Linked DNA regions of Neurospora crassa OR74A. The protein of the gene in region 1 interacts with the protein of each later gene in a pairwise test. Links are inferred from orthologs where the notes say so. Each region holds a gene or a part of one and is shown in the gene's direction. Other genes may lie near its edges. The genes, in order: NCU03387, NCU07071 and NCU05778.

Evidence for each region.
Region 2: the proteins of NCU03387 (region 1) and NCU07071 interact in a two-hybrid assay, tested with the Schizosaccharomyces pombe proteins (2 studies listed by BioGRID). The link is inferred for Neurospora crassa OR74A from reciprocal best matches to the Schizosaccharomyces pombe genes sec18 and rcd1.
Region 3: the proteins of NCU03387 (region 1) and NCU05778 interact in a two-hybrid assay, tested with the Schizosaccharomyces pombe proteins (2 studies listed by BioGRID). The link is inferred for Neurospora crassa OR74A from reciprocal best matches to the Schizosaccharomyces pombe genes sec18 and isu1.

What each region holds. Positions count from the first base shown.
Region 1 is NC_026502.1:885,408-892,364, reverse strand, and holds NCU03387 (vesicular-fusion protein SEC18), read left to right. Parts: upstream 1-2,311; 5' UTR 2,312-2,594; coding exon 2,595-2,953; intron 2,954-3,017; coding exon 3,018-5,220; 3' UTR 5,221-5,422; downstream 5,423-6,957. Other genes in the region: NCU03385 (hypothetical protein), read left to right, coding at 1-490; NCU03386 (hypothetical protein), read right to left, coding at 826-1,885, 1,940-1,947. UniProt on the Schizosaccharomyces pombe protein: Required for vesicle-mediated transport. Catalyzes the fusion of transport vesicles within the Golgi cisternae. Is also required for transport from the endoplasmic reticulum to the Golgi stack.
Region 2 is NC_026506.1:257,319-264,447, reverse strand, and holds NCU07071 (cell differentiation protein rcd1), read left to right. Parts: upstream 1-3,237; 5' UTR 3,238-3,924; coding exon 3,925-4,282; intron 4,283-4,368; coding exon 4,369-4,524; intron 4,525-4,584; coding exon 4,585-4,960; intron 4,961-5,022; coding exon 5,023-5,203; 3' UTR 5,204-6,738; downstream 6,739-7,129. Other genes in the region: NCU07070 (ATP-dependent RNA helicase dbp-9), read left to right, coding at 90-575, 654-1,518, 1,578-1,874, 1,941-2,323. UniProt on the Schizosaccharomyces pombe protein: A differentiation-controlling factor that is essential for the onset of sexual development. Induces ste11 when sexual development is invoked through nitrogen starvation.
Region 3 is NC_026507.1:3,795,646-3,802,202, forward strand, and holds NCU05778 (iron sulfur cluster assembly protein 1), read left to right. Parts: upstream 1-2,961; 5' UTR 2,962-3,191; coding exon 3,192-3,333; intron 3,334-3,431; coding exon 3,432-3,606; intron 3,607-4,063; coding exon 4,064-4,154; intron 4,155-4,235; coding exon 4,236-4,385; 3' UTR 4,386-4,850; downstream 4,851-6,557. Other genes in the region: NCU05777 (ubiquitin carboxyl-terminal hydrolase 14), read right to left, coding at 1-1,621, 1,709-1,776, 1,896-1,923; NCU05779 (hypothetical protein), read left to right, coding at 5,095-6,327. UniProt on the Schizosaccharomyces pombe protein: Scaffold protein for the de novo synthesis of iron-sulfur (Fe-S) clusters within mitochondria, which is required for maturation of both mitochondrial and cytoplasmic [2Fe-2S] and [4Fe-4S] proteins.

The sequences.
Region 1 (6,957 bases):
CCGCAACGTCCGCATCACGTACCGCCCCCTTACCCCGACTAAAGATGGCCGTCCCCGTATCGACGACCTGGTCGAATACGAATCCCTCTCCGGTTCAGGAGGCGTCAAGACCGTCGCGGGAGTCGACACGGGTAACTGGGACAATATCCAAGAGGATACGACCAGCTGGGACTGGCGCGGGAGCGGGTGGTTGTTTTTTGTGAGCAGTCATTGGGAGGTGCTGGGTTGGGGGGAACGCAAGAATGAGGAGACCGGGGAGGTCGAGGAGAGATGGGCGGTTACGTGGTTTGCGTCGACGCTTTTTACAAAGGAAGGGGTGGATGTTTATAGTGATCGGCCAGAAGGGGGGAGTAAGGAGTTGGTGGAGGAGGTGTTGAAAGTGTTGGGGGAGGTGTTGACAGAAGGCGGGGAGGGGACGAGGGGCTTGAAGGAGATGGTGGAGAGGGATATGAGGGAGGTGAAGATTAGTTTGCCTTGGAAGGAGAGGTGAGTGGGATACAGGTTCGGGGGGATTGAAGTCGGATTGGGAGTTTTTGGATGGGATTATATTTGGATGGGTATCTTGTTGGCTATTTATGTTGACGCTGAGGTTTTTATCTACTCTGGATTTTGCGCAATGCAAGAATAATGAGGATGCTATGCTTGTTCGTCTCTTGGACGTCTTGGCTCGTGCTCGTAATCTGACCTCTCCGAGCGGTGATGCCGGTGATGGTCATGCTTACCATCATGGGCATCACGGTCTTTGTGCTTGCGATACTCGCGATCGTCTCGGTCCTTGCTAGACCGTCTATGGTGCCTGTCACGAGAGTGATCTCTCCTCCTTTCCTAATCTCTTTCACTTCCGCGGCTTCGTTCTCGGTCACGATTTCTCTCCCTTTCCTCATGGTGACGACCCCGTTTGTGGTCCCTGTCATGGCCATGGTGACGGTCGCGGTGTCGGTCTCTATCTCGCGATCGGTCTCGATCATGGTCCCGTTCCCGCCTCTCCGACCGAGACCGCCTACCACAGTCAGATTCGTCACCAGACGCTCTACTATCATGTTTTTCCTTGCGATATTCTGTTCGCCTCCTCTTTTCTCGTCGTCGCTCTTCTTTTCGCAATTCCTTTAGCTCCCTTTGCCTCTCCTCATTCTCCCGTTCCCGTTCCTTGTTGAGATCACGCACCATCTTGGCACCCCTCTTCATCATCGCTAAAGGATCACTTGCACTCAGTCTTTCCACCTCACGAGCCTTCCGTCCGGGATCCTCCTTGCCGAACACGTTCTTGGATGGCACCAACGCAGCAACGTCGCCATCCGGTGTCGCATACCAGGGGCCATTTCTGGCTAACAAGCCTTCCGCATCCCTGCCAGCCGCACTGGTAAAGCGTACCTGATGCTGCTCCGCTTCCTCACGCTTTTTCTTGGCTGCTTCTGTCTCTGTTATCTCATCCTTCTCTACAAGCCTCAGCTCCTCTTCAGAAAACAACGTGATATGACCCCTGCTATCGACCAGCGATGCAGTAGTAGCAGTGATGGAAGTCGACTTCACTGGGCCAGACAGCTCCCTCGCCGCATTTTGCCCTGCCGTGGCCCGTTCCCGCGCTATCCTCATTTCAAAATCGGTGTCATCCTCGCCTGCTCGCTTGCGTTTGCGTCCTTCTATCAGAGGATCACGTTCACGCTGACGGCGCCCATGATCATGGCTGGATTCTGATGCTGGCGGTTGCTCCTCAAGTGGCGGCGGAACTTCACCGCGCAGAATGGCTAGACGACGTTCGGCGTCGACCTGTTGCATGCGTTGCTCCTCAGCTTCCTCGCGAGCACGGGCCTCGGCCTCGTCACGGCGGACGCGGGCGACGTTGTCTGTGTTGTAGACGTTCCATGATTTCTTTCCGAGAAGGTGACTTGTATGCTGTTGGTAATTGTTGCTTGGATAAAAGGAGTCAGTATTCACTCACAGAGGCATATTGACGTTGGGACAAACGATGAAATCGTCTCCCTTCAAGTGATTGGATAGTTGAAGACGACAACATTGGGAGAACCAGGAAGCACCTCTACTTGGAGTCAGTCTTCTTATCTTATCTTGCGGCCAACACGTGCCCCGCTCTTTGACGTACGTTGGTCCCGTTGGTCAGGGGCGAGTCCAGGCTGGGCGCCAGGGGACCAAGTCTGGGGATACACCACTAATTGAAAGCTGGCGCCTTTGTACAAGTAATCTGACAATATGCTCCATAGTACAGCCGCCATTGACACCATTTCCTGTACAGCGTCAGGGACACAGCTGAAACCACCCAACGTAGTAATAGCGTTCCCTTGACACAACAGACCTCCATCCGCATCCCCTCCTCTCTCAACTCAACAAAACACCGAAGCTCAGCCTCAAAGGACAGGCATCTTCTGTGGTCATACCCGGCTATATCGTCAATTACAATCAACCGAACCAACATCCACGACGTGTCTACGTACTTGCGCGCGAATCCAGTGCGCCCACTCCACGCTCCAACGAGACATAGATAAACACCACCAAGGGCGACTGGTTCTCCCCATTTACGTCCACTCACCTACTACTCCTCCTCGATACCCGTAACTTATAATCCACACACGACACTCACCATGGATATTCGAGGCAACCTCTTCGGCAAGAAGCCCCAAACCCCACAAGGAGGAGCTGGTCTCCCCGGTCGTCCCGTCCAACAAGCAGCCGGAGGCGGATACGGCGGCGGCGCAACACCAACCAACTACGGCAGCCCAGGTGGTCGCGCTCCCTCTCAGCCCCAATACTCTGGCAGCGGCGCTGGAGGATATGGAGGTGCGCCATCTGAAAAGAGCTATGGCGGCGGCGGTGGCGGTGGTTACGGCGGACAGCCCGCTCCTGGCGGATACCCTTCTCAGCCAGCCGGTCGCGGTGTCCCCCTTCGGCTCGCAAAGGTGGATGACAAGACGTTGCAGAGTCTCTACATCTTTGGCAACATGTGAGTTCCCTGCGCTACCCATGGTCAGTCTATCCAATCCAAAGTTGTTAACCTCGTACTTTAGTTGCGCCGTATCGCCCAATGATTTCCCCCCGAACCACGATGGCACCGATCTATACATCCGCTTGACAGGAAGACAGCTACGAGGAGATTACGTGGTGACGGCACGCCCCACCCCCGGCTTCCGTCCGGGTCACATCAGCTTGTCAGACCCCCAGCGAACATGGTGCGGAGTTGGCATGATGGACGAGTTGATGGGAGAGGTCTACGATCCCTTTGCCCGTGGAGGCGACGCCTACATTGGCTCCATGGATGTTGAGATCGGATTTGCGTCAACCAACCGAATCGTCGATACCCCCTATGACCAGGATGAGCTGGCCAAAGTGTTCCTCAAGACTTTCCAGAACCAGGTCTTTGCTCCTGGTCAGAGGTTCCTGCTTGACGTCAAGAACATCCCTTTGGCTGTCATGGTCAAGACGGTCACTCTGGTTGACCTGACCATGCTGGGATCGGGCGAGGCTCCCACACGCAGTGACCCTGGAGCACGCGGTATTCTCACCAACCAGGCCAGCATTGGCTTCTACAAGGATGCCAGGTCACCCATCAAGCTCAAGGGCTCCAACAAGCGCCCAGCGGCCAACGCCATCATCGCCCCAGACTTCAAGTTCGAGAATATGGGCATTGGTGGTCTGGATACCGAGTTCTCCACCATCTTCCGTCGTGCCTTTGCCTCTCGTATCTTCCCTCCCGGACTCATCGAGAAACTTGGCATCATGCACGTCAAGGGTATGCTGCTGTATGGTCCTCCCGGTACCGGAAAGACCCTGATTGCCAGACAGATCGGCAAGATGCTCAACGCCAGGGAACCCAAGGTCATCAACGGTCCTGAAGTGCTGAACAAGTACGTTGGTCAGTCTGAAGAGAACATCCGTAAGCTCTTCGCCGATGCCGAGAAGGAGTACAAGGAGAAGGGAGACGAGTCCGGCTTGCACATTATCATCTTCGATGAGTTGGATGCTGTGTGCAAGCAGAGAGGTTCGGGTGCTGGTGGTGGTACCGGCGTCGGAGACAGTGTTGTCAACCAGCTGCTCTCCAAGCTTGACGGTGTCGACCAGCTCAACAACATCCTCCTTATCGGAATGACCAACCGTAAGGACATGATCGACGATGCCCTGCTTCGTCCTGGTCGTCTCGAGGTTCAAATCGAGATCTCGCTTCCCGACGAGCATGGCCGTGGCCAGATTCTCAAGATCCACACCTCCAAGATGAAGGAGAACAAGGTCATGGCTGACGACGTTGACCTCGCTGAGCTTGCCACTCTTACAAAGAACTTTTCTGGTGCCGAGTTGAGCGGTCTCGTCAAATCCGCTACCTCGTACGCCTTCTCCCGACACATCAAAGTCGGCACCATGGCTGGCGTTTCAGAGGACGTGGCCAACATGAAGGTCAACCGCCAGGATTTCCTCAACGCCCTCGACGAAGTCAAGCCCGCCTTCGGCGCCGACGAGTCCGAGCTTGAGAAGCACCTGGCTTACGGCGTCATCCACTATTCCAAGAGTATCACGTCGATCCTGGAAGACGGTCTGCTCTACGTCAATAACGTGCGCAAGCTCGAGCGCCTCAAGCACATGACCGTCCTCCTTCACGGCCCTTCGGCCTCTGGAAAGACGGCTTTGGCCGCCCATATCGCCATGAAGTCCGACTTCCCCTTCATCAAGTTCATCACCCCCACCGACATGGTCGGCTTCCGCGACGAGGTGGCCAAGAAGGATTACATGCACAAGATCTTCACCGACGCCTACAAGTCCCCGCTCTCCCTCCTCATTATTGACAACATCGAGCGCATTATCGAATGGAACCCCGTCGGCCCGCGCCTGTCCAACACCATCCTCCAGGCCCTCGTCACCCTTTTGGTTACTCCTCCACCTAAGGGCCACCGTCTCTTGATTCTCGCCACGACTTCGCAGCGTACCGTCATGGAACAGTTGGACGTCACTGAGTCGTTTGACTACCAGATTGCCGTTCCCGCTGTGAACAACCTCCAGGAGTTGGGCGCAGTGTTGAACGAGGTGGGAGCGTTTGGTGGCGACCAGGCGGCTGTCAGTGAGGTGTTGAATACCCTACGCGAGTATACCGGGTCGGATAGCGTGGGTGTGGGTGTCAGGACGATCCTGACGATTGCGGAGAGCGCGGACACGAGTCCTGATCCGAAGGGATGGTTCGTGGAGAAGATGGCCGGGTTGATTGCTCGGTATAATGTTAGGTAGAGAGAGAGAACTAGAGCTGTAGACAAGGAGGTATATACATTAATATGGGTATATGGGTGGATATCAAGTGGATGAGCTTCAGGATATAGACAGTGATGCCTTTTGGGAATAGAAGTAGGTTAATGATGACCACTACTTTGTTATAACTGTTCCAGTCTTGTTCCGAATCTTACCCCTGCGTTTCATGGGAAACCAAACGCGAGCGTTCGTTAGACTTGTATATATATTTCCATGCTAACGTATCCGAGATATTCAAAGGACCACTATTTCTGGACCTACGCTACTATGTATACCTTCACAGCACGAACGAATACTTACCATATTGGTCAGCGCCTCCATGAATGAGATGCGAAAGTAGAAGAAACTCGAAACGGTCGACAGTTAAAAATACAACTGCGGACAATCAGCTGTCAAAATCCAACGGCCCGGTGCTATCACAGTCCCCGACGACGCCTGCTTAGTAACGAGCTTAAGATGATCAGATACCCGCTCTATCGTGATGAGCTTACCCCCCTGGAAGCTGTCCTTCCTTTCTTTTTTTTTTCCCCTTTTTTTCGGTTTTTCTTTCCTTTCTTTCTTTTTTTCCCTCTTTTTCTCTTAACAACATATAAACAAAGAAGAAGGGAAAAAAACAACTAAGAAATGGTTGGAAGCATCATATGACGCCCAACACAACCACCACGGGGGCTGTCTCCATCGTGCGAGGCAATGAAGACCTTAAAACAAAAAGGTATACCATGGACCTGGCTGCGACGAAACTAATCAACGCCCTAGACGACTACCTTCCTTGATTTCTCCATGCACACTCACTCACTGACGGGTTTGTAAAAAGGTAAGGTAAGGTAAGGTAAGGTAAGAGTAGCAAAGGCTTCCCATTTTTCATGGTGAGCTGGATGCAGTGTGGCTGGCTCACTTGGCAAGTGGTGGTGGGTTTGTCTTGATAACTGTTGTATTTTGGAGAGTTGGGACTGCCCGTTGAGGCTTTCATGCTCCTGGCTCCTGCCCCGTTACTGCGGTTACTGGTTACTGGTTACTGGTTACTTGTGGTTACTCTTCACCGGTTATTGGTTCATGGTTACTGGTAACTGATCCCTTCCTGGTTCTCTTAGAAAAGGGCAAGTGTCGACGATTTGATCGAGTCTGGAGGTAGGTACCTTCTGTTGCGTGTCCCAATGGAACTCACTGCCCAGCGTGCAACTCACCCAATTTCAGCTGGTCATCAGCCAGGTTACGTGCGTCTCTTTCCCTCTCAGCAATTACCTGTCCTTAAGTAAGCAACCTCTTTCTGCATTCCTTTTTTTTGCCCCTTTACAATAAACCCACGATTAACTTGTCTAGGATTAATGTATAAGTTTATGTGCCCTTCTAAACCACCGAGGCTTGCTATGAGTTTTAAAAATGTTCATGTTGATACAAGTGATGCATCTTGGGTTTTGAACTTTGGCATCTTGCACTGACCTTGCGGTGGTCCCTGATGGGTTGCATGTGTTTTGCCACACTGGGAGTACGGAGATGACAGTCAACGAGCATTGGACTGTAAATATAATCAGTGGCAAATGTACGTATATGGATAATGAAGAGGGGAGGCTGAACAGGGACAAGAAAGGCATGTGTATGTTTGAGGAGCGAATTTGGAGGAGTTTAGCATACAAAGGAGATAGTGGTTGTCACAATGATCGTGAAAAATTCCATGGGTCACGGACGCTTTATTTCCATGATCAAGCACCGCAGACCCTG
Region 2 (7,129 bases), on another chromosome or scaffold:
CACCAACTTTCACCGTGTTATTAACTTACAATTACTGTCGCGCAAGACCAGTTTAATACCAAACTTCACAACCTAGATACCCCGACACAATGGCCAAGCGCAAGTTGAACGAGACGGACGAGCCGTCAGTCGTGACCGAGCCTCAGACCCAGAAGAAGACCAAGAAGTCTTCAACCGAGAAGAAGGAAAAGAAGGAGAAGAAGTCCAAGTCGCAGAGTGTCAAGCCACAGGAGGAGAAGCCCGAAGCGACCCAACAACAAGCGCAGCAACAAACCGAGGAGGAGCAAGAGCTCGAGCAACAACTAAAGGACGAGCAAAAACAACAAGACGAAAAGGACGAGAAGAAGCAGAGCGAGAAGGACGATGCCGACTTGACCTTCTCCGACCTGGGTCTCGACCCTCGCCTTGTGCAGGCCGTTGCGAAACAGAGCTTTGAGAAGCCGACGCTCGTGCAAAGGAAGGCGATCCCGCTTGCGCTGGCGGGCCAGGACGTGCTGTGCAAGGCGAAGACAGGATCGGGTAAGACGGCGGCATATGTGTTGCCTGTGTTGAGCGGCATTCTTAAGAGGAAGGCTGTGAGTTACCTTGACACCCGGGAGAAGAAGTTGTGTTGTGACAAGGTTGGATGCTAACGAAAAGGAAACCACAAACAGACCGACCCAACCCCCTTCACCTCCGCCCTCATCCTCGTCCCTACGCGCGAACTCGCCGACCAAGTCCACAAAGCCATCGATGCCTTCTCCGCCTTCTGCACCAAGGACATCCAATCCGCCAAGTTGACCGACAACGTGTCCGACGCCGTCCTGCGCTCCCTCCTCGCCAATGCCCCCGACGTGATCGTCTCCACTCCCGCCCGCGCCTGGCACAACATCGAGTCCGGCGCTCTCAGCGTCGCCAAGCTACAGTACCTCGTGCTCGACGAGGCCGACCTCGTCCTGTCCTACGGCTACGATGAAGATATGGAGAACATCGCCCGCTCGCTGCCCAAGGGCGGTGTGCAGACCACCATGATGAGCGCCACTCTCGTCTCTGACGAGCTCGACACGCTCAAGGGCTTTTTCTGCCGCAATCCCACCATGCTGGACCTGAAGGAAGAGTTCAGCAACGAGGACGAGAAGCTCACCCAGTTTTACGTCAAGTGCGGCGAGGATGACAAGTGGCTCATCAGCTACCTGATCTTCAAGCTGCAGCTGATCAAGGGTCCCTGTCTGGTGTTTGTGGCGGATATCGATCGCGCGTACCGCTTGAAGCTGTTTTTCGAGCAGTTTAGCATTCGCAGCTGTGTGCTGAACTCGGAGTTGCCGATTAATACACGGATCAAGATTATCGAGGAGTTTAACAGGGGTATTTATGATATCATCATTGCGTCGGATGAGAGGAGCGAGGTCTTCTTGGAGGACGAGAAGACTGAGGAGAAGAAGGAGGAGCAAGGTGAAAAGAAGGAGGGCGATGAGAAGAAGAACGGCAAGGGAAAGAAGAAGAAGGGCAGGAGGGATCAGGAGTATGGTGTTTCGCGAGGTAAGTCTGTCTGCGTTTTGGTCCTACATGGTTCTGGATACTAACCCAAATGATCCCAGGCATCGACTTCAAAAACGTTGCCGCCGTTATCAACTTCGACATGCCCACTTCTTCCTCTTCCTACATTCACCGGATAGGCCGCACCGCCCGCGCCGGTCGCGCCGGTATTGCTCTATCGATGGTCGTCCCTCACGATCTCTTTGGCAAGCACAAGCCCACCAGCATCAAGCAGTGCGAGAAGGACGAGAAGGTTCTGGCCAAGGTGATGCGCCAGCAGGCCAAGCTCAACCGCAAGTTGGAGCCGTACAACTTTAACAAGGATCAGATGGAGGCTTTCCGTTATCGTATGAACGATGGTCAGTACCCCCTTTCCCCCTTATCATTTCGTCCATTTGACCATTCATTCTCTAACTGAGCAATAGCCCTCCGCGCCGTAACAAAAGTTGCCATCCGCGAAGCCCGCACCCGCGAACTGCGACAAGAACTCCTGCGCTCCGAGACGCTCAAGCGCTACTTTGAAGAGAACCCGCACGAGCTGTCGCACCTGCGCCACGACGGCGAGCTCGGCACCAAGATGCGCCAGCAAGCCCATCTCAAGCACGTGCCTGATTACTTGCTGCCCCAGGACGGCAAGAACGCTCTCACGGAAACCCAGATTGGGTTCGTGCCGTTTAAGAAGCAGGGCGACGATAAGAAGACGAGAGGCAAGAAGGGGGCCAAGGGTGGAAAAGGTGGGCATGGGAAGTATAAGAAGGGACCTGGGGGGAGGAAGAATGTGTTGAAGACTTTTAGGGTTAGGAAGTAGAGGGACGGCGTCTGGTAGATGAGATGGGAAAGGAAAAGGGGTCTGCATTTTCTGGTGTTTATGTGTGTGTGTGTGTGTGTGTGTGGCTTTTTTTTGGTTAAAAAATACCTAGGCTAGGCTTGGTGGTCTGAAGGGGAATCAAGATATCATTGCACATCTACGGGATATCAAAGAGAAGTATGAGTCCTGAACGTTAAGCTGTTGATCCCATTTATGGGTTGGTATCGGATCAAAACGAAGGTGAAATGGCAATTATAAGTTTAAGCTCACCTTCAAGCTCGCCTTCAATCGAAGTTCATCGAGATTTAAAGGAAACGTGAGTAGGTACATGGTGCCTTCCAAGGCCGAGAGAACATCTAGGACGGGACGGGATGAAGACTATCGATGTTCCTCTGATACGTGGATTTCAAGTGCTTGTTGAAGTTGAGCCTGGAGATATATGCCATTATTTTTAACGGCCCATCAGTTTTATCTGATCGAAATTCGCCCGGAAAGCGATGATCACCCGAATTTTGATTCACCAAAGACAGCGGGCAGATTTGATGTCGAAATGCAGACGGCATCTGTCATCCAATCAGGGCGCATTATCCCCTGACCATCGCAGGGTTATATGTGGGAAGTGCCGCGTTCCAGGGTTAACTGTGAATTCGGAATCCAACACTGGACCGAAGCTTCCCCACATGTTGAGCTTGATGGTCTGTGCGCAAACTGTCCCCGTCGCGGGTGCGGCTCTGGACCGCTCTCTGGCTGCTGTGGGTGCCCTGAGTGGGTGTGAGTGTGACCCTCGAACGCCGGCGGGAGCAGGAGACGAGTCGACTCCAGCAGGCGGGCGGGTGGTGGGCGCCGCCATAGGTCCACCGGGCAGCTAGGTCTTCGTTCTTCTTTCATCTGCTTGATTCCCTTCCTCTTTGCCCGCCGACAACACCACAGGAATACATACGACCACCACCCAACTCACTCACTCCAGTCTACATATCCACTTCCGTCACCGTCACCGACTCCAACTCTACCGTGCCGTGACCTCTCTACCCACAACACCAACACTCTCATTTTTTTTTTTTTTTTTTTCCATATTTCGCTTCCATACCAATACACACGTACTGTACTTCCAAGACCCGCCGCGATCGTCAAGCCTTGCCTGCCGGGCCTGTGACTAGGTGTTCTGCAATCTGCACTTTAATCCGCCGCCGCCGCCGCCGCCGCCGCCGCCGCCTTTGTTCAACAGCCCGCTTGCTCAAAGCACAACCACCTCGCTACGTACCCGCCTCGACGCCGCCTCGCCCACTTGTCTACCTTACTCTACACGACCCGACCCGCCCGACGACGCCGTTGTTGACCGCTGCTCTGTCTGATATTCGCAATCGAGAAGGACCCTTCCTGCGCCCGACGACACCCCTCTCATGCCGCCCGGCCTGCCGTTGCCCCATCGTCAAGTTCCTGGCGAAAGATAATAACCACTACCACCACCACCACCACCACCACCGACAACAATAGCGCCACCCCGAGTCCTGCCTCGATTGATACCCACACAGCTCCCGACGTCTTTGACCCACTACTTCGCGCCGTCGCCAGCATTTCTCCGTTCGAACACATAGCCCAAGATGATGCAGAATCCCCATGTTTACGGCCACCACCAATACCCCCAGGCCGACTCTGCCTGGCTTCACCAGCAGACCTCTCACCATCAGCACGCCCAGGCTGCTGCCGCCGCCGCCAATGTTGCCCAGCAGCAGCACTACAACCGCCTGGCCGGCGCACACAACAATGTGAACGCCCTTGCCGCCGCCACCCACGCACAGGATAATGCCATTGAGCCCGTCGTCTCGGATGACAACCGCCGTACGCTCCAGTACATTGCCGACTTGCTGAATGAAAACACCAGGGAGGCTGCGCTGCTTGAGCTGAGCAAGAAGCGAGAGCAGGTCCCCGAACTGGCCCTGATCCTCTGGCACTCGTTCGGTAAGTACAATGAACCGACCTATACCTCGGAGCCCCTCCCCCTCTCTCCCCCCGCCGATCGATCATGCGCTAATCCCCATGTCTAGGAGTCATGACATCTCTCCTCCAGGAGATTATCAGTGTCTATACCCTCCTCAACCCCTCTCAGCTCACCGCTGCCGCCTCCAACAGGGTCTGCAATGCCCTCGCCCTCCTTCAGTGTGTGGCGTCTCACAACGAGACACGTACCCTCTTCCTCAATGGTAGGTGCCCCTTTGTTACAAGCCAGGACCGGCTAGCCTGCTAACCTTTTTCTTCCTCAGCACACATCCCCCTCTTCCTTTACCCCTTTCTTAACACGACGTCCAAGTCGCGTCCTTTTGAATACCTCCGGCTCACTTCGCTGGGAGTCATTGGTGCGCTTGTCAAGAACGATTCCACAGAGGTCATCAACTTTCTCCTTACGACCGAGATTATTCCCCTCTGCCTGAGGATCATGGAGACCGGCTCTGAGCTCAGCAAGACGGTTGCTATTTTCATCGTGCAGAAGATCTTGCTTGATGACAACGGTCTTAACTACATCTGTGCCACTTATGAGCGCTTCTACGCTGTCGGCACCGTCCTCAGCAACATGGTTGCTCAGCTGGTAGAGCAGCAGACGGCTAGGCTTCTCAAACATGTTGTTAGGTGCTTCTTGAGGTATGTTCTCGCCCTGTTACTCGATTTTGGTAGGTCTCTGTACTGACTTATCATCCAAACAGACTTAGCGACAATGCTCGTGCCCGCGAGGCACTCCGCCAGTGCCTGCCAGAGCCCCTTCGCGATGCCACCTTCTCTTCGGTTCTGCGCGACGATGCCGCCACCAAGCGTTGCCTGGCGCAGCTCCTCATCAACCTCTCCGATAATGTAGTCGAACCCAGCACCAGCGGTCTTGGAATTTAAACCACCCTTTGCGATTTGGCCATTTTGCCACTTTGGACGCTCGGCTTTGCAGCAACTCATGGCAAAGGAACAAACTGCTAACTCGAGACTTTTCTTCCAATCGGTTATAGGGTGAGAAGTGGATAGATCGCTACTACAAGTAGAGATGGAAAAAATTGGGGGTGGGGGCTACCGGTCGTACATGATCGAGTGGTCTGGAACTCAACCCCTAATAGCAGCTCATAGCCATACCTAGGACCGCACAAGCTATCCGACGACGAGAAGGGTCCGATGGCTACACCTCAACACGTCAAAGTACACCACCAGCACACGATGACATTACACGCGAAGGCCGAAACTCTCAAGGACATCCAGCATAGTGGAGGAACGAGGAGCCGAGAGACGATGAAGGAGTCAGCGGAGGAGGGCAAGAGGATCATTGATGACGAAAGATACCCCCAAATTTTACGTAGCTTCCTTAACTCTTTTTTTCTGTGTGCATAACGCCTATACAGTGCTTCATAGTTTTCTTTTGGAAGTTTTTTGGAGGCTGCTGCAGTTTTGTATTCATCGTTTGGGACGAAACGGCGGGTCACGAAGTCCACGGTTCACATATCTTATACCCAGGAGGAGGGGAGCGGAGGAAAGGGTGACCAGTGGCGTGGTCGAAGACCCTTGGTTGAGGATGCGAAGGACTGGTGGCGCGGTCGATATATACTTTGGAGTTCAAACGTGATCGGTGGCATGATCACGGACAGACACATACGAGACGAACGGGTCGAGGTTACGATTGATGCTACCCGCTGGACCCTTCACTGGGACTGGCTCGGATAACATCAGCGAGGGAGGGCAAGTCAATCCGGTGGCCGATCAACGTTGATGGCACCCATCAGACACATTCGTGTGAGCGAGAGGGACAATCGGATGGCACCCGTTGTTCCGTGGGCAGGCCGAAGTTGGTTACAACAATCACATCGCTACCCGGACGGATCAGACGACAACAAGCCAAGTCCGTGGGCAACAATACCTCTCACCTGGTCGACCCACCTCGAACACATCAACAATACCGTCACCTCCAAAGGTATATACCACACAAAGGAGAGATTCCAGAGAGAGAGAGGAGAGGGGGCTACCTGATAATGTCTTATGAGTAGAGGGACTTGTTTTCAAGAGGAGGGAAAAAGCGAGGGATAACTGGGATGCATAGGGTTATAGAAAAAGGTGGGCAGCTGAAAAGCGGAACGAAGAAAGAGAATCGGCGAAAGAGAAGAGAGGTGGAAAAGGGGATTTTCTTTTTCACTTTTTCTTATTGTCCAAGACACACCAAAAGCATCATCATCATTCATGTACCTATCTTTCGGCACGACACATGGGAAAGCGAGGATTCCATAATCATATCACTTTTTACTACATTGGGAGGGCGTTATTTTGTTGATTTTGGGAAGAGGGGGGAAGAGGAATGGGGGGCTAAAGGGGGAAGAAAGGGGCGAGGGGAATAGGGGAAAAGGGGGGTTATGGGTTAGGGGGGAGGGGGAGACCTCGGGGGACGGGGGGGTAAAGAGAGAAAGCATAGGATATGGGGTGTTGGAGATGTATGAGTTACCATAGTGGATAGGGGATATAGGAATTGCGGTTGTATGCGATGGTGGGCGTTTATGAATTCATGAACATGATATGATGTTACCTTTGTGTACACGGGCTGGCGAGGCGACACTTCATGTTTGAGTTGAGTTTCTAGGTTTATAATCTCGCGACCGTCTCCAGTAACCTTAAACCTTTCTTGACTGATCACCATCTCGATAGTCAACATGTTTACCATCGGTCCTGGGTAGTTCAGCACAGGATTTGATGGAGAACATGTAGCAATGGTTTTCTTCTGGGGTATAACACAAAACTGTCTTGGAACATCAAACTTTGTACAATTCTCAAAATGGGTATTCTACTTTT
Region 3 (6,557 bases), on another chromosome or scaffold:
GCAGGGCTTCTTCGTCAGGCTGCTGACCCTTGGAAAGGTATTCGTCAAGGTTCAAGGGCTCGTCATCAACAATGACGGGAACATCAATCTTGACGGGGACCCAGTTGACAACAGCCATCTTTCGGGCATTGACAACGAGGACATCGGGGAAGGTCTTGAAGGCTTGACGCTTGGTAAACCCATCCTTGCTTCCGCAGCCCGCACAGGTCAGCTCAACGACCTCGGAGGCAGTCAGGCTGTCAAGACACTGCTTGAGCGTGACAGGCTTGTACTTCGGTTCTTGACCCTCCTCCTCGGGTGGAAGCTTCTCCATGGGCACGTCAATGAAGACGCTGTCCTGCTCATTGCTACTGTAGCGGACCTTCTTGCAGTTGAGGCATTGCAGACGCTGCTCCATGACGAAGCGCATGGGCTGGGTGGGATCACCAAGCTCTACTGGATGCTTGGATCGAGTGATGAGCTTGATCAGATGCTGCAAGAGCTCAAAGGCGTCTTGCTGCCGCATGGTCGAGAACTCCTCGTGGCCACGACCCATGAGGTGCTTGAACATGGAAGGCTGGAGACCCTTCTGGTAAGGGACGTTGGGAGTGTGCTCAGAAGCAAAGACATCGGCGTCTGACTTGGAGTACCGGCCGGAAAGAAGACCATCACCAAGCTTGCGAAGCTGTGTTTCGAGGTCCTCGGCAGGATCTGATACGCTGGGGAGAGGACCAAGCTTGTCGCTATAGTACCGTTGTTGGAAAGAGGGCAAGTCGTAGAGACACTGTAGGATACTGGCAAGGTAGCAGCTGTTTCCGAGGTTCTTGAGGCCAGTCAGGCCAGGGCCAAAAACGGGTGTCAACTCTTTGCCGTCCTCAGTGGTCATGGAAAACTCCCATTTCAGGTTCTGCTCGATCTGCATTTCCGTCAAGCTCTTTTCCGTCTTTTCGCGCTCGGCAAGGATAATGCCCCAGTTGGCCAGGTGGGCGCCCAGGTTGTCATCGATGCGCTCTTCGTCGCAGTTGTAGCAGTATACGTCGGCCGTTCCCTCGGGGGTGATGGAACCAAGCTTGACAGCGACGCCGTGTTTGGTCTCGGTCGCGTGAGCCAAACCGTGAGAGTTTCCGCTGACACCACCGAATTGGGCGCGGCCACAACCAAGGTTTCCGCATTCCAAACACAGCCAAAGGTTTTCGTTCAAGTCGCACTTGGAGCAATGGCCCAGATCCTGAGACTCAATCTTGCGAGGCTCTCCTTGCTGCATTGTCAAGATGTGCTCACAGGTAGTGAGCTCTTGTTCCCAGGCCTTGACCTCCTCCTTGCGTGAGAACGTGTTGGCCTTCATGACGGCCTCGATGACGGGGGCGATGGTGGCATCTTCCTTGTTCAAGTTGTCGATTCCGCAGTCCAAGCACTTGACTGTAAGTGTTGTATCGTAGCGATCGCTTTCGGTCTCGGCCGCGATGGCGAGCTTGGACATCTTGAGAGGCGGCTCATTGCGCTCGATGATCTTGCGGGTTCGGCGAATGTTGAGGACGAGCGGGTGGTTTCGCGAGGTGGCATGGAGCTTTGCGTGATTCCGGTCGCCAGCGCAGCCTCCGTTAAAGCACTTTAAGCAGACATCCAGACCAGCTGGGTCGTCCTATTTACAGCGAGGCGGTTAGTTGCTAGGCTGGACATGGTAGATGGGGCTAGAAGAAGAGAGGAAAGGCCAGGATAGAGTACGGACAATGGAATCGAAGCATTGGGTACAATCCTCGCGGTAGACATTGTCGGTAGGCGACGGCTTCGCGAGGTCTGTTAGAATCGGTGTGTCAGAAATACGTTGTCCAGTCCTGAGTTAGAGGCGCACCACACATGATGGAAGCTGAGCTGAGCTCCAAAGAGCATGCAAACATGGAATAAGCAAGACTTACTTGCGGACCCGATGTGGGGGCACGACATGTTGGGCGGATTCGCGATGATGTATGAATGAAATCAACCAAGCTATGTTGTCTGTATTCTTGGTGTGTAGTTGTGTACAACTAGAAAGTCATCGAATTGTTGGATGAAGTCTACCGCCAAGTGAAGTTGTATTGCAGAGGAAGAGAAGATGGAAGAAGCGTGAAGGAAAATGGAAGCTTGCCGTAGCTGCAGGCAGTGAGCTGAGCTGAGGTATGATGTTGTGGGGTAACTTTAGCTGACGCGGCAGGCACTGGACAGCAACCACTCCCCAATCCCCATGTTCCAGGCAACCGCGCTTCATGGCATTCGCCCTGCCGCCTTCCATTTGTTCGAACCCCGCTGCCGTTTCATGGATTGTGACAGCGGACAGGGATGATGTGCTGCAGTCTGGGGACAATGGAGCAGGGATTGGCGCTTGCTTAGGTATCGGTGGTGGACGATCTGTTATGCATTTCTTAACATTGTGGCACGTTACACAGTGACAATGCAGATACGGTTTGTTAAGAAAGTGTCATTTTCCAGTTTGCAATCAAGAGGCAGAGTTTTGGACGGGAGGTACGTTTGACGGCGACAGAAATGCCCATTCGACGAGGTAAGAAAAGAGAACAAGGACCTGACTAAGTACCATTATAGTGTAGAAGCCCGTGCTTAGCATTTTCATCTGTCGTCGGCTGGAAAAAAAAAGTCCAAGGGAAGCGAGTGATCGTCCAGAATTCCAAGTCAACGACGACCGAATCGCGAGACGTAGGTACATTCGGTGTTCCGTAATCTGATCATCTTATCTCCGCGGCAAGTGGAGCTCAGAACTGTCTTGGCTCTCTTTTGTCCAACCGACCAAGCCGACGTCGGGGATGACGCCCCCCATGTCCGTAGCAGCGCGTCTTGTCACTGGCCTAACAGAAGCCTGGCTGTTTTGGTTGGTGATTGTGCTCCGCTTTTGTTAGGAGAGCTCTGACCAACCCCTCTTTTTCGTATCCCAGTCCCGAGTGCAGCAAGTCGCCCCCTTGGGTCATCATCGACTTTTTGGCGACCAAGTGCCGCAAGCCCGCAAATCCGCAGCCAAATCCGCAAATTCCAGCAACTTTTAATCCCCAAGTCCCGTCCGCCGCCAACCTCTTTATCTCGGCCTCTTTGACTTTTCGCCATCCACTCATCACCAGAACTCGTCTCTTGCATCACCGATACCTATCCTACAGAAACAACAAAACAACCCAAGACAAAACGAAACGAAACAAAACAAAAACATCACAATCAACACATCCGCAACCATGTTTTCCAGATCCGTTCGCGCTGTTTCCGGCCGCGTTCTCGCCAACGCCGTCCGCCCTACCGTCATGCCGGCTGCGCGCCAGATTGCGCCCGCCGTTGCCGTCGTCGCCAAGAGGTCCTACCACGAGAAGGTCCTTGACCGTGAGTATTCCCATCGCGGCCACGCATTCGCGCCCTATTCCACCTTGGATATGGCATATCGGCAAACATGTACAGATGCTAACATGTCTCAATATCAGACTACTCGCGCCCTCGCAACGTCGGTACCCTCGACAAGAAGGACAAGTCGGTCGGCGAAGGTCTCGTCGGCGCCCCCGCCTGCGGTGATGTCATGCGCCTTCACATCAAGGTCGACCCCGAGACTGGAGTCATCAGCGACGTCAAGTTCAAGACCTTCGGCTGCGGCTCTGCCATGTGAGTATTGTCTCTTTCGTCACTGATAGACACGGATGCCTCGGGAAGCCATGGGGGCCAAGAAAAAGTGACCGAAGCCACGGGCGATACGAAATTGATACCACACAACGATCAAATGAAACGCGAGCGACGACAAACTAGTTTCATCGACGTATAGTTGCAACTACAACACCTCGGTTCAGCATAAGCAGGGAGGATGAGCAGAGAAATGCGACACCTGAAAGTTGAAACCTCCAGGCCGTTACACCCCAGGTTTCAGTGCTGCTTGGGTGTGCGCGCGAATAAGCGATAACCTCCCCATGCCTTTCCAACGCCTTCGACAAACGGAGAACGATATCGAGAACTACTCGGATTCACTACCTACGATTCCTAAAAAACGACGATAGCTTGATCATTGGCTTCCCAAGGCTTTAGTGTTACCATAACGTTCTGAGCTCAGCTTACTAACTCCCTTCAGTGCCTCTTCCAGCTACGTCACCGAGCTCGTCCGCGGTATGACCCTCGAGCAAGCCTCCAAGGTTAAGAACACCGAGATTGCCAAGGAACTCGTAAGTCTAGACCTGTTCTCCGTACCATGCTCCTATGCCTCTCGTGCACTATGAACTAACCGTGTTACCCAACACCCACAGTGCCTCCCCCCTGTCAAGTTGCACTGCAGCATGCTTGCTGAGGATGCCATCAAGGCCGCCATCAAGGACTACCGCACCAAGAACCCCCACGCCATGCCCACCAACCTCGCTGGCACCGGCGCCAAGTTCGAGACTGCCCAGGCCGCCTAAACCGGTCATCTACTGATTAGCCAGCCAGCTTGGGAGGATCTTAATGGGGCTTGTATGTTGGAGAAAGCTAAAAGTGGATTTTGCACAAAGAGCCGCAAACCTTGAAAAGGTCGGCCATGCATGCGTCGTGGGGTTTGTTGTCTCTTGTTTCTCATGGCGGGGGTTCTTGAAGGGATTATCATATCATCCATTAGCGGAGTCTTTCGGAGTTTTGGATTGATTTGGTGGGTAGTTCTTCTTTCTTGTTGTCGTTGTTGTTGTTTGTCCAACACCACAACCACTTTTTTGGGCTGGGTTGTTGCTGGCTGCGTTGTTATAACAGAAAAGCAAGCTCATTCTCCTTTCTAAACCTTTTATCCTGTTATGCCGCAACCTCATTGTCCCCATTTGTATGTTTATTACGATGACTTATGCGAATGGTATAATGTCAACATATAATGCACCCATACGACTGATTATCATGTGCTTGAAACAGTTGTAGTCATTGTTTCCTTTTAGTTTGATCGAAGCTTCCATCGGCTATTAGCTCACCCAGTTCATCGTTCCTTAACGATATAAGGCACTTCTCAACCACATTCGACAGCCTGCCTCTTCTCTCCCCGGTCCTTCTTCAGCACAGATCACTTTACAACTCCGATAATTCACACTAACCTTTACAACTCCGATAATTCACATCAACCAGCACGTACCCGCCCTTCCCACAAAAGCCATGGAAACGGACCCCGAATCCGACCTCTCCGCCCTTGGCTCTCAGCTCTCAAGCGACGTGGCAGACAACCAGCTCGACATTGAGTCCACCCTTCGCTCGTCCCAGTCCAAAATCAAAGAGCTGAGAAGAGAGCTCAACGCGGTCGACATTGTCATCGACAAGTTATTTGCGAGCTATACTGCCCTAACTAAGGCGTGGTCTAAAGTTGATCAGAAGGCGGGTTTGAGGAGGGAGCGAGAGTCGAGGGAAGGGAACGATAACGGGGAGGATGGGGAAGAAGGTAGAGATGAAAAGGAGGACGATGACGACAAAAAACGGAAACGAAAAGATTCCAGTGAAACAGAAGAACCTACTGCGACTACAAAAAGTAGAAGAAGAAGTTCGAACAGTTCTTCTCCTCCCATAGACGTGTCGGAAGCTACACTCGATGCAGTGGCGAGGATCCTGCCGCTGCCGCTACCGCAGTTGGAAGAAGACAGTGGAAAGAGTGTGGAGGAAGGGGATATGACTGAAGCTGCCACTGGAGGTGTGGGAGGAGGAGGAGGAGGAGGAGGAGGAGGAGGCAGCAGTACAAGTCATCAACAGCAACAGCAAGGAATTAGAAAGAAAATCAACTTGGGTAAGAGAGAGGTGAAGAGGGTTAGGACTGTTAGTCCTGAATCTGGATCTGGATCTGGATCTGGACCTGGATCGGTGATGAAGAGCATTGAGGGGGATGAGGTTGATGGGAGTCACGAGAGGGATAGTCCAACTCTGGAAAGCGAGGGGGAATATGGACAAGAAGAATTGCCCGACAATGGGGGAGAAGTCAACTTTCGAAAGGACTTGCAAGTCAATGTTGTATTTCTGGAGCAGCAGTTCGAGAGATATGAGGAGGACATAAACAAAGGGTTGGAGCTGTATAAGAGCGATATGAACAGGAGGGTCGAAAGGTTGGAAAACGACATGAACGAGAGGGTCGAGAAGCTGGAGAGGAAAGTACACAAGAGCTTCGAGAAGTTGGAGAATTGGATGAGTTGGAACGAATGGGTCGGGGAGACGATCACTTATGGGGGAGATGATGCAGATGATGAAGATGAAGAGGAGGAGGACAGTGAGGAGGACGATGAAGATACTGACGAGCACGAAGACGACGATGACGATGACGATAACGATGATAATGACGACAACTACAACGGAAACCTACCTTCGCCGCCAGACGATCACCCCCTGACAAATTCGGCTAACCATTGATCTGGAGATGACCCTGGTGATGGGTTACGTCCCGGATTGACATTGCAGATGACTCTTATCAACAGTAATGAGGTTGAAGGGGGAAGAGACGAGAAGCATGAGCATGATATCAAGACAGAGCTACCTGAGGATAATAGTAATAATGATGTGGTGAATGAAGAGGCCGTCCGTTAAAGGAGACGAAGTCAAGCAGAGTAGCTCTGAAGTCAAGGTAGAGGCCGGAGGGGACC